Linked DNA regions of Struthio camelus. The protein of the gene in region 1 interacts with the protein of each later gene in a biochemical or structural test. Links are inferred from orthologs where the notes say so. Each region holds a gene or a part of one and is shown on either strand. Other genes may lie near its edges.

Region 1 (7,598 bases):
TTCAGACAAGCCCTGTAAGGTTTATGAGGCCAAACTATTTACAACTTTTAAAAACTTAAATTTTAAGCCAAATAACCTGTTATTCATTCCTACTAACTGGAGAGTAAACCAACATTTACACTCTTAGAAACAGGAAGAACTTGCACAAGAGCTTCAGTAATAAAATTGTTTTCTGGTTTAGGGAAAGTGTTAAAACAGAACCTGCAACTAGCTAGTTACTGTGTATTAGATAATCAGTATATGAATAAGGGCTTCATTACACCTAGGAGTCTTATTAGAACCCCAACATCAGCAAAAGTAGAGCCACAGTCCTTCAATATTTGCATGGGCTAGAAACAAGAAATAAAATTGGATACTTGCAAGCAGAAAGAAAAAAGTGCTGAGCAACACAGAAAAAAAAGCACTGTTGTAGTAGGAAGCTGGTTCTAAACTTCTTTACTCATCAGTTAAAGAAAGGGAACGACGGCAGAGAACCGTGCTAGGTGTAACACAAGCTCTACCGCATTCCAGTAGCAAAACTTTCAACAGATCGCTAAAAGCAAAACTATTTCTGTTAAGAAAAAGTTACTAACTTATGTTCACAAAGTTTATCCACTGCAAGGAACTCAAGATATTAAAAGGCCTCGTGAAGGCTGTTGAAATCTGTAAGAATCCTAGCTTTAAAGGCCATCTTTGCACATCTCAGCAGTTTCTCTAAACTGACCTTTTGCTCTTAAAACAAGGTGCTTTGATTTCAACCCTACAAATTCAGCTGGAAGCCTCTATTGTGAGCTTCTCCTTCTCTCATCAATTAATGTAACCAATAACTAATGTGATAACTGTGCCTCAGTGAGATGTACGAACGCTATTACTGCAAGCAGGTTTTTGAGTCAGCTGAAACTGGAGCACAATACAGTTCGGTCAGTTAGAAGAAGGACCAAAATCCAACCCTTTACCTCCTCCCGCCCACTCTGTTTGCCTTGAAACAACTGTAACTAGTCCTGCCCCTCACTGAGCAAGCATGACTAATGCACACAAGGAATTGCGTGCACTGGTCAAGAATGCATCGCTTTTGCCCAGTCCCTTTTCAGATTTGGGTTTTATTTCACAACCAGACAAACTCCAACATTTGGCAAACCCATAGCAAGGACCAATTTACACTCGGGACACTGCATTCGCACACTTGCATTCTAACCTTATTCCAGGTTCTTAAGGTATGGTCCGATAATTATTACGTACACCAAACTATTAGAGCATTAAGGGCTGTTCAGACTGGAAGTGACACCTGCTTGAGCCATTTTTACTCCTGATGCTCTGGCACAGTAGAAGGGTCAGTAAACTTGGCAAACAAAGAGTTTAAGAGGTTCAAGTGAGGTAGGTTTCCTCACCCTTTCACCCAGTATAATTAGCACAATAGAGAAAGTAGTCCAACAGGGTTCTCAGCACTGCAGACAACCTGTGTTTTTAACAGAGGAAATAAGTGGTGTCATACCAGCCTCCTAAACCTCGGTTTGAGAGAATCCCTTGCTTGCTACAGCTGTAAGACTATGAGTACTTACACTGACAATTTCATTACAAATTCCATAAAGAAAAGCCAGGAAGCAATCCTCAGTTCAGCTGGAAAGGGCTCTCCCCCTCCCCCCGCAAAGTTCTTCAAATTAGTAGTAAAAGTAATTATAAATGTATTGCCAAATGACCTTGGACAATTCACTTCAACTTGATTTCTCTGCCTGAAAAATAAGGTTAGCAGAATATTCTTCATAGGGGTGCTGCAAGACTTATCACTTACAAAACAAAGTTCAAAATGTTATATAAATAGTTCACATTTTAGCTATTGACAAAACTACGTTTCAAAACAAGACTCTGGATACAACTCTAATCAACTGGTGGAATTTGGTTTGGCAGGGACCTAGCAGCAGAGCAACAAGGTCAATGTCAAAAACAACATTTAGGCAGCTTTATGACCCGAGAGAGTTTTAGTTATGTTTGATCGGGGCAAACAGCTTTTTCCGTGAAGAGGTTTGCATAGCTAGCCTATCACTCTAATAGAAAGGGGATATCGGCCCACCAAGTATCACATTAATTGCTCACAGAGACAAGACATAGTACTTTCAGCTGCAGTATAATATCCTTCCATTGGGATCTGCTATGCCAAGGAAAACTGACCTTCAGGATCACCAAACCCAAGCAATGCACCTAAAACAGAGTTTGCTCCAGGCTTAAACAAAAAAAAAAAAAACCCAACTTACCTTCACCCTCCCAGCCCTGCACGAAGCTCGACTCAGCAGCTAAAGATTTACCAAGCAAATAACCGCTCTTCGGAGTCTCGCCCGAGCCTCACCTCACCCTACCAGGCCATGGGGAGCTGCGAGCTCGGCTACCAGGAGCCTTGTCGGGGGGAGGAAGCGCAGGAAAACTCTCGCCGCTCTCGGGCGGGGCAGGCCGGAACGAGGGAGTTTGGGGCGGCCGGGGAAGGAAGGCCCATCTCGCCGCATCCCGTCTAATCCCTCCGGCAGGGGGAGCGACGCGGGGCCTGGCGCAGAGCTGCAGCCCTTCCTCACCCCCTCCCCCTCCGCCTTTTCCCTCCCTTCTCCACCCCCCGGGCTGGGCCGGCGGCTCCCCGCTGCCTGCACTGCGGCCTGGCTGCGGCGGCGGCTCCCTCCTCCCGCCGCCAGCCAAGCGCGGGGCTGGAAGCGGCCGGGCCCGCAAGGCCTCGCCGCCGCCTCAGCGCCTCACAACCCGCCGCGGACCTCGGAGAAAGGACCGTAGGTTGAAAGGAGGGCGGCAGCGGTGACTTACCGGCGTCGGCTGCTGCTGCTGCCCCGGGCAGTGGGTCTGGCTGTGCTCGGGCAGTCCCGCTCGGAGCCGGCTTCCCCCCCTGCCGCCGCTCAGCCTCTCTCCGCCCAAGCACACAAGATGGCGGCGCTCGGCGGCCACGTCAGTGCCAGCCCCGCGCGCGGCACCACGGGTAACCGAGGAGGGCAGCGGGAGGCGGGGCCGGCCGCCGAGGGGGCGGGGCTCCGCCTGCGGCGGCGGCGCTGCAAAGGGGCGGGGCCGGGCGGGAGGCCACGCCCCTCCCTCTCCTCTTGCCCACCCCACCCCCGCGGGTGGGGCGGGGTTGGCGCGTGGGAGCGCGGGCGCGGGGCGGCGCGAGGGCTGTGCGCGTGGGAGCTTTTCCTCCTCCTCCTCCTCCTCCTCCTCCTCCTCCTCCTCCTCCTCTTCCCCCCACCTTCTCCCTGCCGCGGGGCCTGGCGTGCATGCACCATGCAGCATTGCCCCGTGGACGGCTCCTTGGGGACGCATGCACCATGCAGCGTTGCCCCGAGGCCGGCTCCTTGGGGGCGCGTGCACCATGCAGCGTTGCCCCGAGGCCGGCTCCTTGGGGGCGCATGCACCATGCAGCATTGCCCCGTGGACGGCTCCTTGGGGACGCATGCACCATGCAGCGTTGCCCCGAGGCCGGCTCCTTGGGGGCGCATGCACCATGCAGCGTTGCCCCGAGGCCGGCTCTTTGGGGGCGCATGCACCATGCAGCATTGCCCCGAGGCCGGCTCCTTGGGGGCGCATGCACCATGCAGCATTGCCCCGAGGCCGGCTCCTTGGGGGCGCGTGCACCATGCAGCATTGCCCCGAGGCCGGCTCCTTGGGGGCGCATGCACCATGCAGCGTTGCCCCGTGGACGGCTCCTTGGGGGCGCGTGCACCATGCAGCATTGCCCCGAGGCCGGCTATTTGGGGACGCATGCACCATGCAGCGTTGCCCCGAGGCCGGCTCTTTGGGGGCGCATGCACCATGCAGCATTGCCCCGAGGCCGGCTCTTTGGGGACGCATGCACCATGCAGCGTTGCCCCGAGGCCGGCTCCTTGGGGGCGCATGCACCATGCAGCATTGCCCCGAGGCCGGCTCCTTGGGGGCGCGTGCACCATGCAGCGTTGCCCCGAGGCCGGCTCCTTGGGGATGCATGCACCATGCAGCATTGCCCCGAGGCCGGCTCCTTGGGGGCGCATGCACCATGCAGCATTGCCCCGAGGCCGGCTATTTGGGGACGCATGCACCATGCAGCGTTGCCCCGAGGCCGGCTCCTTGGGGGCGCATGCACCATGCAGCATTGCCCCGAGTCCGGCTCCTTGGGGGCGCATGCACCATGCAGCGTTGCCCCGAGGCCGGCTCCTTGGGGGTGCGTGCACCATGTAGCATTGCCCCGAGGCCGGCTCTTTGGAGGCACATGCACCATGCAGCATTGTCCCGAGGCCGGCTCCTTGGGGGCGCGTGCACCATGCAGCATTGCCCCGAGGCCGGCTCCTTGGGGGCGCATGCAGCATTGCCCCGTGGACGGCTCCTTGGGGGCGCATGCACCATGCAGCATTGCCCCGAGGCCGGCTCCTTGGGGGCGCATGCACCATGCAGCATTGCCCCGAGGCCGGCTCCTTGGGGGCGCATGCACCATGCAGCATTGCCTAATAATACCACATTGCGGGATGGTGGAATAGCACACGGACGTTACAAGGTTTAAAGCGTGCCGACGATGCAACCCCCTGCAAGGAGAGTGCATTGAGCGTACGGGCTTGCGACACGCAGGACCCGCTTTGCAGGGCCGTGAGCTGTCTGAAATCCCCGAGGGGGAATCTACAGGCTGTTTTATCCAAACTAAAGCAGGACTGCAGGGAGGAAAAAGGCAAAAAGATAGCTGGTGGGATGTCCCAAGCGCTGGCTCTGGCCTTTCGCAGGCACCTGGGGCGCCTCGGTTTCCCCTCTGAGCCGGAAATACCACTTTTGTCTTTCTTGCCCCGGCCTGGGCACGAAATACTTCCTCCTCTAAAGCGCAGCAGAAATTTGAAAGCAGCAGGAAGCAATGAAAACTCCTTCTTTCTGCCCCCCTTTTCCCCCCCGATGCTCATAGGAAATTAATACCTCAAAATCCTCCGTCCCGCTGTCAAAGGTGGCTGAAATTGCCCGGCAGCTGAAAACATTATAAAGGGATGAGGGAAGACAGACGGGCATGAGCTCAAAAGCCTCTTTTCCTAAAAAAACTAGGTCACGCACGAGAGCGGTGGCAGAGATGGCAGGAGGGAACCCGGACCGGAGCCGGCGCTTGTCCCCCGCCGCCTTGGGGCAGCAAAGCTCACTCTGTACAAGCAGGTAGGATTTAATACGACGATTATTTCACTTAAGGAAGCACCTATGATACGTTAGGTCTCCCCAAAGGTGCACAAAGAGCCTGGAGAGGTCCCAAAACGTTGCAAACACGTTGAGGGGTTTGGGCAAAAGAGAAATGTGGCCTCGGCGCTCTGAGTCATGATGCAAGATGCAGACTTTGCCCGGTGACTCATTTCTGGGAAGAAAAAGGCCTCTTTTTGCAGCGGGGCTGAGCAGACCTGTTCCTTTCCTTTCTTTTTTTCTGCCCGTTTCGGAGTGGGGACGCCGGGGAAAAAGGAACCTCCGCTTGCCCGCCGGGTGCTAGCGGCAGAGCAGCAGCCTCGTCTGCTTTCCTGGCGCGGCCTTTTCGGAGCGGGACGGGTTTTCCTCGCCTCGGGTGACGAATCCTCCAGCATGGCTACACCCTGTTCTCGCTGGCTTTTGCAAAAAATAAAACAATAAATAAATCGTGTTTGTCCAAGGCGATTTTCTGAGGTTGTAAAAATATCCGCGAAGGCTCGCTTGCGAAACGCTTTTCCTTTCCCGCCTGCCCTAGAGAAGAAGAAGAAAAAGAAATCCCCTTAGGCTGGATTTGCTTGAGCTCCGAAGGATTTTAGGGACAGAAGCGGCTTCAAGTGCAAAGCCTGGGGTTTGGGGGTGACACTGGGGCGGGTGCCCACGGGCGAGGGTCGTTCACTGCTCTGCTCTCGGCCGTGGCGGCACCTAAGGCCCCCGTTGGCCGCTTTGGGTCGAGGGTTTCTCACCTTCGAGCTTGTCACATGCTGGTGAGGACGGCGATTGCTGGCAGGAGCTGCAAAATCACCCCCGCCACCAGCTATTGGCTACCTTTCCCACCGAAAAAATAGCGACTACGGCTTGGATTCGGGGTCTTGGAGTCACCTGTTGGGCTAAGAGATCTAGACCTGGTGCTCATGTTTTACCATCCTGCTAGCAAAAGGCGGGTGGGTTTGGGGAGAAAAGCAAGCTAAACGCTACCTGCAGCAAAATTATGCAGCAAAATCATAATTTTGCAGCAGGAGCTTGCTCCAGCTCCATCAGTGAAGTGGAGCTGAAGGCCCAGGTGGGAGCAAAAATGCTGGAGGTGAGTGGAAAGCCAGCTGGGTCCCGTCTCCTGCAGCCCTGCAAACAGCCAGAGCTTTGGGTTTTGCCACGGTTTCTCCGAGAAAAGCCGACTTTGGGTGCAGAGGGACGCGTGCAGCCAGAATTCCCGAAAGGCTGTTTTTTGAGAGCATCTCAGATGTAGGACCGAAGCACGGAGAGCCAAGACAGCAAATTGCCCTTCCATCGGTGACGCCGGCTCCCTGGGGATGGCAGGGAAATTACTTCAGCTCTCTCCGCCTCGCTTTTTTTCTCCTTAATTTGGAAATAGCTCCACTGAGTCACTCAGCGAAGCGCAGGGCTGGTGTGAAGAGCTGCGCCTAAGGTAGGTATCGCTAAATTTTTGGCGCTGCTGCTGCCACCTCTGGAAGGAGCTCCCATGGTGCATGCAATGGGGCCCCTCCCGGGGTGACCGTCGAGGAGTTGCCTTCATGTCCTCAGCGCCTGGGTTGGAAAACACATTCTGGCTAGGTGGAGACCACGTCGCAACCCGCTTGGCCTGGCCCAGAAAGTCACCTGGCGGTAGCTAAGAAGTATTCACTGACCGTGACGTCTCCACGTGGCTGGCGCCGAGTAAATCTGGATTCGGGTGCTTGCAGCGCCGGTAGCAATGCGTTCCTGAGTACATCTGGGGGATCTTCACCGAGGGCCGCTGTCCTCCTTTCCCTTCCTTCGGAAGCAGCCAAGCCTCCTGGTTTTAGCGGATGGTTTTTAGGAGGGTGCATTAGTGTCGTTATTTCACCCAGCGTCCAGGACCGGCGGTGGGAATTGAGCAGCAGAGCCTCTAGACCAGATAGCAGCGTGGGGTCATGCCGCAGATGGTCTCTCCGTCCGCCCTTCCCAGTTTTGGGTTTAATCCTCAGCTTAATTTTAGTGCCAGACCTAACGTGCTGCAGCTGGAGACCTGCGCCAGCTGCCGCGTCCGCGGGGCCAGATCTGTGGACCACCACATGGGATGGAGATGGGGACGAGCACTGTTGTCCGTGGTGCCAGCTGTGTCCCACTGGTGCCTCCAGGTCTCCCAAATCAGAAACATGGCAGGACCACGCAATTGCCCACAGCACAAGGTATTTGGTAGGGTCAGCTCCTTAGAGCTGTCTGGTCTTCCTAGGATCCTCTAAAGTCTCAGCTTCCTTTCCTTGTTACAAAGATATTGTGTCCTTCTGGACAAGATATTAGCTCCTGCAACCTGGATAATTTTGAGCTACTATGGGGTTACCTAAGGCTTCGAGGGGCAAAGGAAGGAAGAGCCACAACCATTTGGGGAGGTCACAGGCCTCATTTTAACAGCAGGTTTCTGGACTAGATGTTAGTTCTTTGTCCATGGGGAACATGCAGCCCTTCAGGGAGTGGTGGGAACCCTT
Region 2 (7,687 bases), on another chromosome or scaffold:
GGATTGTTTAGGTGACCTGTTTTTCTCTTCCACAAAGAATTTGTCAAAAGAAACAACTTGAAATGATGGTGTGTGTCTAGATTTTAACTTGCAGTTTGCAAACCCCATAAAATTAGGTCTACTTTTATTTAAAAAAGACAATGAGATAGAGCAGTGAAGATTTGAATGACTGGAAGTTGTTCAATAAAAACCAAAACTTAGGCATGTGAACAACCTACATTACAAGAGTTGTGGACCCTTAAAGCTTTCAACAGAGCAGACTAACCTATTAAGTCTCCTTAGGATTGAAATTGTAGTGATCAGATGCTGTGTCATGTGTATACATATATTTATAAATATGTATATTATACACTCACATGCATATGTGTATGTATATATATATATGGCATATATTCTTCCTTGTCTGGGCTTTTATATTTGAATGGTGATGGTGGGGAATCTGCTGGTGTACTGAGAAAACCTTGTATAGAATTAAGAGTAAAGAATTAAAGAATAATTTCAAGACACTTTTGCTAAGACTTCTTGGGAAAAGAGTAAACTTAAAGCCTATTTCACGTCACTTTTAATGATTAAATTGTTCTTTATCGTTTTATAAAGTCGGCATCAGTAACGTTAGTTGCTCTCGAGTCAACTTACTTTACAGCTCTTTAACAGTAATGACCCTTCTCCCAGTCTGGTAGTCTGTTGCTGCTGTTAATGTTCAGCAGTCAGTGCTGTGTGCTAGTGACTCAGTCAGCAATGTTGTGCAACTAAACTCAAGAATATGGTTCAGAACAGGTGAAAAGTTAGCACTAGCAATGAGTGCTACCGTTCGTGCGCTTTTTTCCATTCGACTTAGTTTTCACCTGCTATCTACTTTTTGTGGCTTGTTTTTTTTGATGGTGAACAATGTCTCACTGCAGATGCAGCTGGTATTGCTGCATTCCAGCTTTAAAGAAGGGCAGGCCTTTCAAGACAGAAGTCCGTGTGAAGTTTGTGTTTGAAGCATTTTTAAAATATATTTGAGACACCAGTATTCCTCGTGTTCCAGAGTGTGGATTAAAGCAAGTTATTGGTTTCTGTTGCTGAAAATCATGAGACTCTAAATCGTAGTAGAATATTTCTGTTGTGCGCAACATACTGTATGCATTTCATTTACGTTATCAGCCTGGGTTTTGCAGTGGTTTGTTACTGATATTGCAAAATTAGCCAGCCCTCCTATGTGAAAGATCAAAAGATCATAATGTCCATATTCAAAAAGCTAGTGTGTGACTTTTAAAGATGCATTGGGGTTTGCTTTGGTTAATGATGAGGATCTTACAAGTATATGTAGACATACTTGAGCTTGGCAGTAGGATGAAAAGTGGCAAATATGACCATCGTGCAGTTAAGTTGAATGGGAGCTTACAAAATACTACTTTTTCAATATGAATGCCTGGAGGGAGACTAGGATTTGGCCAAGCACAAGATTTGGGAGGGGCTTCTTGGCAGAAGGTAGTACAGCAATATGTAATTTTTGAGTTAGGTAGGATAACAGAGGGACATATACTTTTTGTCATCGGTTCCTACTGTGTCTGTGCAGTGGGCCTGATACTTTCCAGAAGCCCCGTGTTTATTGTTTGTGCTTCATGCTCTTTACTTGCAGTTGCCCACAGAATAAAAGGTAAATAGGAGCTGGCTGCTGTGGGCCCTTCAGGACACAAGCTGTAGGCTGTAAGCCAAATCTGTTGTTTGGGTTGGCTGCAGCCACTTCTGGCAGCTCTGGTCTCAGGACCTGTGGGACTTGTCCTATTATGGGACCGGATCTGTCCTTATCATGTGATGGGACAAATAGGGCAGGAGGGAATGCACTGTTGCTGCTAGAACAACTTGGACCTCATTTTGCTCCTGAGGGACCTTTGTGACGGGGGCCTGTAGCTGGAGTAATACTGTGAGGCAGATACTGCATGTGGACTATGAGTAGAAAACCTTGAGTTAAGGTATTTTATAGGCTTTTGGGATTATGGCAGAGTACATGCCGGTTCTGTGCCTCCATGGTAATTTAAGAGCTCTTACAAAAATATTAAACGTAAAACCCAGTATTCTGTAAAATACACTGCTGCTATGAGATATTCAGTGTTGTAGGGAAGTCTAATGACAGATTTCTTAAAGGTTGGATAATGCCTCTATTTTATGGAGAAGAGAAATGACAGGCCATGCAGATGACAGTCTCTTGAATGCCAGCAAAGTTGGTTGTGTTAAAAGAAGTCTTCAGTTGCTGGGTGGTGAATAATTTATGATGAGTCGTCAGCTTGAATGGCAGAGCAGTCTCTTTGAATATGATCTACTATGTGTAGAGGAGTTATTACAGTATCTTGAACTGATGACTAATGCAAATACTGTCACAATCGATGTGATTATAGTACACCAACCATAGCACAGCCTCTTGGAGAAACAGGGGAGGTGCTAAGATGAAAAAATTCCCAACCTGCTGGCAGATTCAGGAGATGTGTAAGTAAATGTTTATGCAGACAAGAGCCATTCACATGTCCCATTCGGTGCATTAGAACATACCACGATTCCCAGGCAGGAGGAGGGCAGGCACTGAGAGCAGGGTCCATAACCAACCACGGATGTAACCGCGGTAGGGAGGGCGAAAAGACGAATGCTCTGGAGGGAGCCGCAGGAATGTGCGGGCTATTTGTCTGTGCTTAAAAGTGGCTCCTCTGAAGGGTTCTGTCATCTAAGGCAGATGAAAAATGGATTATTCCACTCCTAATAAGAAGCCTACTTTCCTAGAGCAGCATGTGGGAAAACGTGGCATGGATTTCCTTGGAGGGTATTGTGAACAAGTTCTTGCATGTTATTAGTGTCGGTTTACTACACTGTATTATATCTGAAGTACAGTATTTTTAAGTATTTAATTGACAGATTTCAATACTCATACACTTCTTAGGGTGACGTATCCTATTTTTAATAGACAGTTCTTGTATTTCTAATTAGAACCATTTTTCGTTGTCCCTCCCCCCACCCCACCCCCCCAGCTTATTTAGGACCACATATTAGAGATGGTCTTTTGGATGTTTGAGAAAGGGAGAGATCTTCTATACATTTATATGTTTAGTGGTGATTGAGCACTTAAGAACTGGAGATGTTGTTTTCGGAATGGTCAAGCGTGAGCTCCGAGTGGGTTGTGACTATTTCTCTAGGGCTACAGTTGCAGTTGGTTTTGGTCAAGTATCTGCTTAAGATATGTGCACAAATCTGTTTAGTGATATGGACCTCAAAGCAGTGATAAGTAATAAATGCTAATTTTTCGAGGTTAATTAGAAACAGCAACATGTGTCATACCTTGAGATGGTGAGTTAAAGCAGTAGTTCGTTGTGTTTTGACTGGTAAGGGATCCATAGTATGTGTTGTAGGATCCTGGCATAGTCAGAAACTAATGCAGATACTGGCTCTAACCCAGTGTCCTTGCCTCTTGGGTGCAACTAGTATGAGAATTTATTCTCTAAACAGAAATAGTCCTGGAGGCATGTCCAGTCCAGCTCATGCCATACCTGTGTTTTAGTCTGGACCCAGGGCACTGGTTTGGGGTGCACCCAGAGAGAAACTTTTCTGTTTTCTGCTCTCTCCTGTCTGATTTTGAAGCTGTACTGGGACTAACTTGCCTTCACAGCTTTGGAGTTGCATTCCTGTTGGAGTGATTTCTTTTTACTCTTTTAAAATGTTTGCTGGTTTTGAACTTTTACAAGCATTGGTTGATTATAGACTTGGGATGTACATAGCAGAAGTTAGTTTTTAAAGCTCGACTTTTAAAAACATAAACAGGAATTGGAAACCTTATTATTTCTAATATTGTTTACTTTCTGGTGTCTGTCATTATGCCTGACTATTGACACTTTTTTTTTTTTTTAACGGGGGCACCAGCCAGTAGTCAATGGCTTCAGTGCCACTGATCCGGGCTCTTGAAGAATTGGCAACCTGAATGTGAAAGGAGTGCATAACTCTCTTCTGCATTCCAGCTTTTTAGAGGAGCCGGGATTTGTTGAAACAAACAGTGATTGTGAAGGATATGGTAGGTCACAGTTTTGCATGATTAACCACATAGCAACATGGTTTCATGCAAAGTGTTACGGTGAACGATTTTATTCAGAGCAATCACAGTCGCTACTGATGGAAAAACATCACTTCTGGGTGATTTGACTCTTCAGTGCCAAAAAAAGGCAGTGCCTTGCTTCGTCCTGCACCTTAGACCTCAGGATGCGTGCGGCTGGCTGTTCAACCTCACGTGAGGTTGAAGTCTCTTGATCAGAACTGTTGCACTTCCCATTGTCTTGCCCTTACTTTGGCTTAGATAAATCCTTGGGTTGTTGGGTGAGAAGCGTGAAACTTAGCTATGTTGTATATTTCTGGAAAGCAGACTTGGAAGAGGAGCCAGGGTGCAAACGGTACCCCTCCTCCCCCCAACACATACACCCCTTCCCCATGCACTTAGTGACAGCAAACCTTTCCCCCCCTGTCGTCTGCGCGACTTGAACGCTGTCTGAGATCCTTGGTGTGTGCCTGCGCAGTAATCGCAGCGGTGCGGCGGGGAGCGTTGGTTCTCGCCCCGTTCCGCAGAAGGGCGTAATCCAGGCCAGCGCTTGAGGTGTGCTCCGGATGCTTGAGGCTGAGCTCTCCTACTCCTGGAATATCTGCTGTTTCCTGATGTTGGGGGACTCAGTGGAGCTCTGCTTGCCCTCGGAGAGGGTGTTTGTCTGAGGCTCGGATTACTCCTGCACCCTCTACGGTTGGGGACGGTGGGCATTTTCGTTTTGAAACAGCCCCCTTTCAGCCCAATCGGGGCAGCTGATTGCGGAGCTAGAGTAGTCTGGTCCTCGTTTATACTGAGGACAAATATTAATCAGATTTACTCTGCAAAAAAGGACACAAAATATGCAAACGTGCAGCCTGCTGTAAACAATGAAATTGAAGGCTGCTGCTGCTCTAATCCCCTGAATACTGGACCTTGCTTCTCCTGAGCAATGCATTTTGGGACCTGCAGGAAGATGCATGCAGTTACCGAATGGATTTAAATCATCCCTTGATGTATTTTTGGAAGGGGCCAAGAGGACTGGTTATTACTTACATGGATGCTGTACGTTTGTGGGGAGAGATGCAGGAGCGGTGTGGAGAGCTGGAGTGGAGCTGCCACTGCTGAACCGGAGACTGGGAGCTGTGTAACCTTTCCGCAATCTTGGTGCGCAGCGGAGTGACTTTGCTCTGGAAGAGGGGCCCGAGTGGGGTGTGACACAGGATTTTTTTTTTTTTTGGTATTGCGGTGGTTTGTGGTTCTGCATTTTGATTTGCAGCTCCAGAAGCGCACGTCTCCCATACCTCCAGCCCTGGCAGCAGGCAAGGTATGATGTCTGGGCTGAATGTTGCCGCCTGAAGGGAGGAGAGGGGAGGGAGACATGTACCTTCTGGACAGCAGCGAGCCATCGGCTGCCGCCTCTCCGGAGAGGATGCAGCGGGGGACCCCCCAGAGGAAAACAGTCTACCGCATCTCTGTGACCATGGTGAAGAAAGAGCTGCTAGGGCCAGAGGGCAGCCATCCTGGCCTGGAGCTGCCTCAGCACGGGCAGCGGGGAGGGAGCCAAGCACTGGGCTCCTCCAGTCTCACCAGAGCTGGGCTGCTGCTGCTGGAGGAGGAGGGCGAGGAGGGTGAGGAGCAAGACAGAGTACCCAGCCCCTGCGGCTTCCGCAACTTCAGGACCCTCAGCACCGGGCAGCTGGAGCTGGGTCGCCTCAAAGTGGCACGGAGAGCAGCGCAGCCTTTCCCTGCCCAGCTGACCTTCAGGTGGCCGCGGGAGCCAGGCGCTGCGGCGGAGGGGGCGAGGAGCAGCCCTTCGCCAGAGGAAGCCGCTCCTGCCGCTGCGCTTGCCCCTTGTCAGGGCCCGTGCCTGGGCGATGGGGAGCCTCCATCAGTGGTGGCCACCTGTGGCAGGGCTGAAGCCAGAGCTGCGGGGGAGCTGGCGGTGACTACAGCTGCCTCCCCTGGGGAGGATGCTCGGCTCCGGGCCCGCTGCTTGCCTGCAGGCTGCTCAGGCGAGGCTCTGCAGCTGGGGGAGCAGGGACATAGTCCCTGGCGGCAGCCAGGCCAGCTGCGGCGGAGCTTCAGCTTCAGGCACTGGAGAGGGGGGGAGCTGCCGCGGATCAGGGCGCTCACCCGGGTGCGGCGGCACAGCAGCTCGGGCTGCCTTCCCGTGCTGCCCGGCCCTACGCCGAGCGAGGCGGCCGGAGCGCTGGACTTGCTGCCCGCTGCCTCGCCCGAGCCGCCCACCGCTGTCCCCGAGAAACGCAACACCCTGGATGTGGGTGAGGTGCTGAGCAAGGCGGATCCGCTCTCTGAACTGGAGCGCTGGGAGCGGAGCAAGAGCAAGAACCGGACCCTGGATAACAGTGACCTGCAGCGGCTCTCTGAGCGCCTGGGGCGGGATGGCCCTGCTGGCAGTGGCGCCACCGTCCATGAGCACCGGCTGCTGCGCTTCTTCAGCGGCATCTTCGCCCGCAAGGACGGTACCTCCACCCCCTTTGGCAGCCCCCACGGCCGGTCCCCACGGAGTAGCTTCTCCCGGTCCAGGGCTTATTTTAGCAGCCTCAGGAGAGCCACTGTGGATGTGCAGTCTAGCTCGGAGAGCATCAATGGGTCCCCTCACAAAGGTACCCCCCCCCCTTTTTTTTCTTTTTTTGTGATCTGGGAGGCTTGACAGAGGGGGAAGCAAGCAGGTGTGTTTGCTGCAAGGGTTTGAATCGGGGCTGAGGGATGGTGGTGCCAAAAGGCCTTTCTAATTGAGGAGATGGAGATGCTGCCCTGGGAGTACACCTACATGATCTGATGTATTTGTTTTATGCAGTAGAGGATATTGTATATCTTGAAATATTTGATAGTGTTTCCTTCTCAGGTGCACAGCCTGATGGTTATGATGGAGGCAGATGAGGTGGTGTGCCTCCTGAATGGAGAAACACTCAGGGTGGTTCACTGTGGCTGCTAGTAGAGCTGAGTGAGGCAAGTGTAGCTTGCTTAATTATGTAGTGGAAGCTGAACTCCTGTGTTGCTCTGTGTGTGTGTGTATATATATAGGTCAGTGGGTGGCTGAGTGCTTTGCAGCGCTCGGGATTTCTCCTTTTGGAAAGACTTTCTGAATCTCGAAGAGGGGTTACAATGGCCAGAAATATATTTGCTAGCATTGGAGTAGGTGAATATTGCTAGAAACACATTCAAAACTGTAAACCTCTTCCATCATCTTGATTACAAAAATGCTTAAGCTTGAGTTCATATTCTTTAAAAAAAAAAAAAAAAAAAAAAAAAACAACAGAACACCACAAACTCGGATGATGCTCTGTGAATTATTTTACATGGTTATGTATCAATCAAATCTGGAACTAGCCAAGCATTGCTAATGCTAGGTGGAAATCAGATTGGGAATTCTGGGATTCCTAAACCCTTAGGATACAAGAAAAACTTGAAAATGTAAGCTCACTGTGGGATGGGAGTCACGAATTGGCTAGCAGGGTTCTGTAAGGATCTACAAGGATCATGGTATGCTTGACTGAGACATGTTAAACCAGAAATGCTGGTTACGGAGCTTCACTGTAAGACACTGCTTTCTTCCTTGCAATGCCTTTTTAATCGTTATTAGGTGTCCGAGGTCAAACATTTCGCTAGTAATCATACTATCCTTTG

Evidence for each region. The genes of interacting proteins can lie anywhere in the genome.
Region 2: of the proteins of ARF1 (region 1) and AGAP1, one has a biochemical effect on the other in vitro, tested with the Homo sapiens proteins (2 studies listed by BioGRID, with this or other methods). The link is inferred for Struthio camelus from reciprocal best matches to the Homo sapiens genes ARF1 and AGAP1.

Annotation. Positions count from the first base shown.
Region 1 is NC_090943.1:3,582,271-3,589,868, reverse strand, and holds the start of ARF1 (ADP-ribosylation factor 1), read right to left. Parts: upstream 3,017-7,598; 5' UTR 2,779-3,016; exon of another isoform or gene 2,229-2,778; intron 1-2,228. UniProt on the Homo sapiens protein: Small GTPase involved in protein trafficking between different compartments. Modulates vesicle budding and uncoating within the Golgi complex. In its GTP-bound form, triggers the recruitment of coatomer proteins to the Golgi membrane.
Region 2 is NC_090947.1:3,584,777-3,592,463, forward strand, and holds the start of AGAP1 (arf-GAP with GTPase, ANK repeat and PH domain-containing protein 1), read left to right. Parts: upstream 1-4,682; 5' UTR 4,683-5,378; coding exon 5,379-6,663; intron 6,664-7,687. UniProt on the Homo sapiens protein: GTPase-activating protein for ARF1 and, to a lesser extent, ARF5. Directly and specifically regulates the adapter protein 3 (AP-3)-dependent trafficking of proteins in the endosomal-lysosomal system.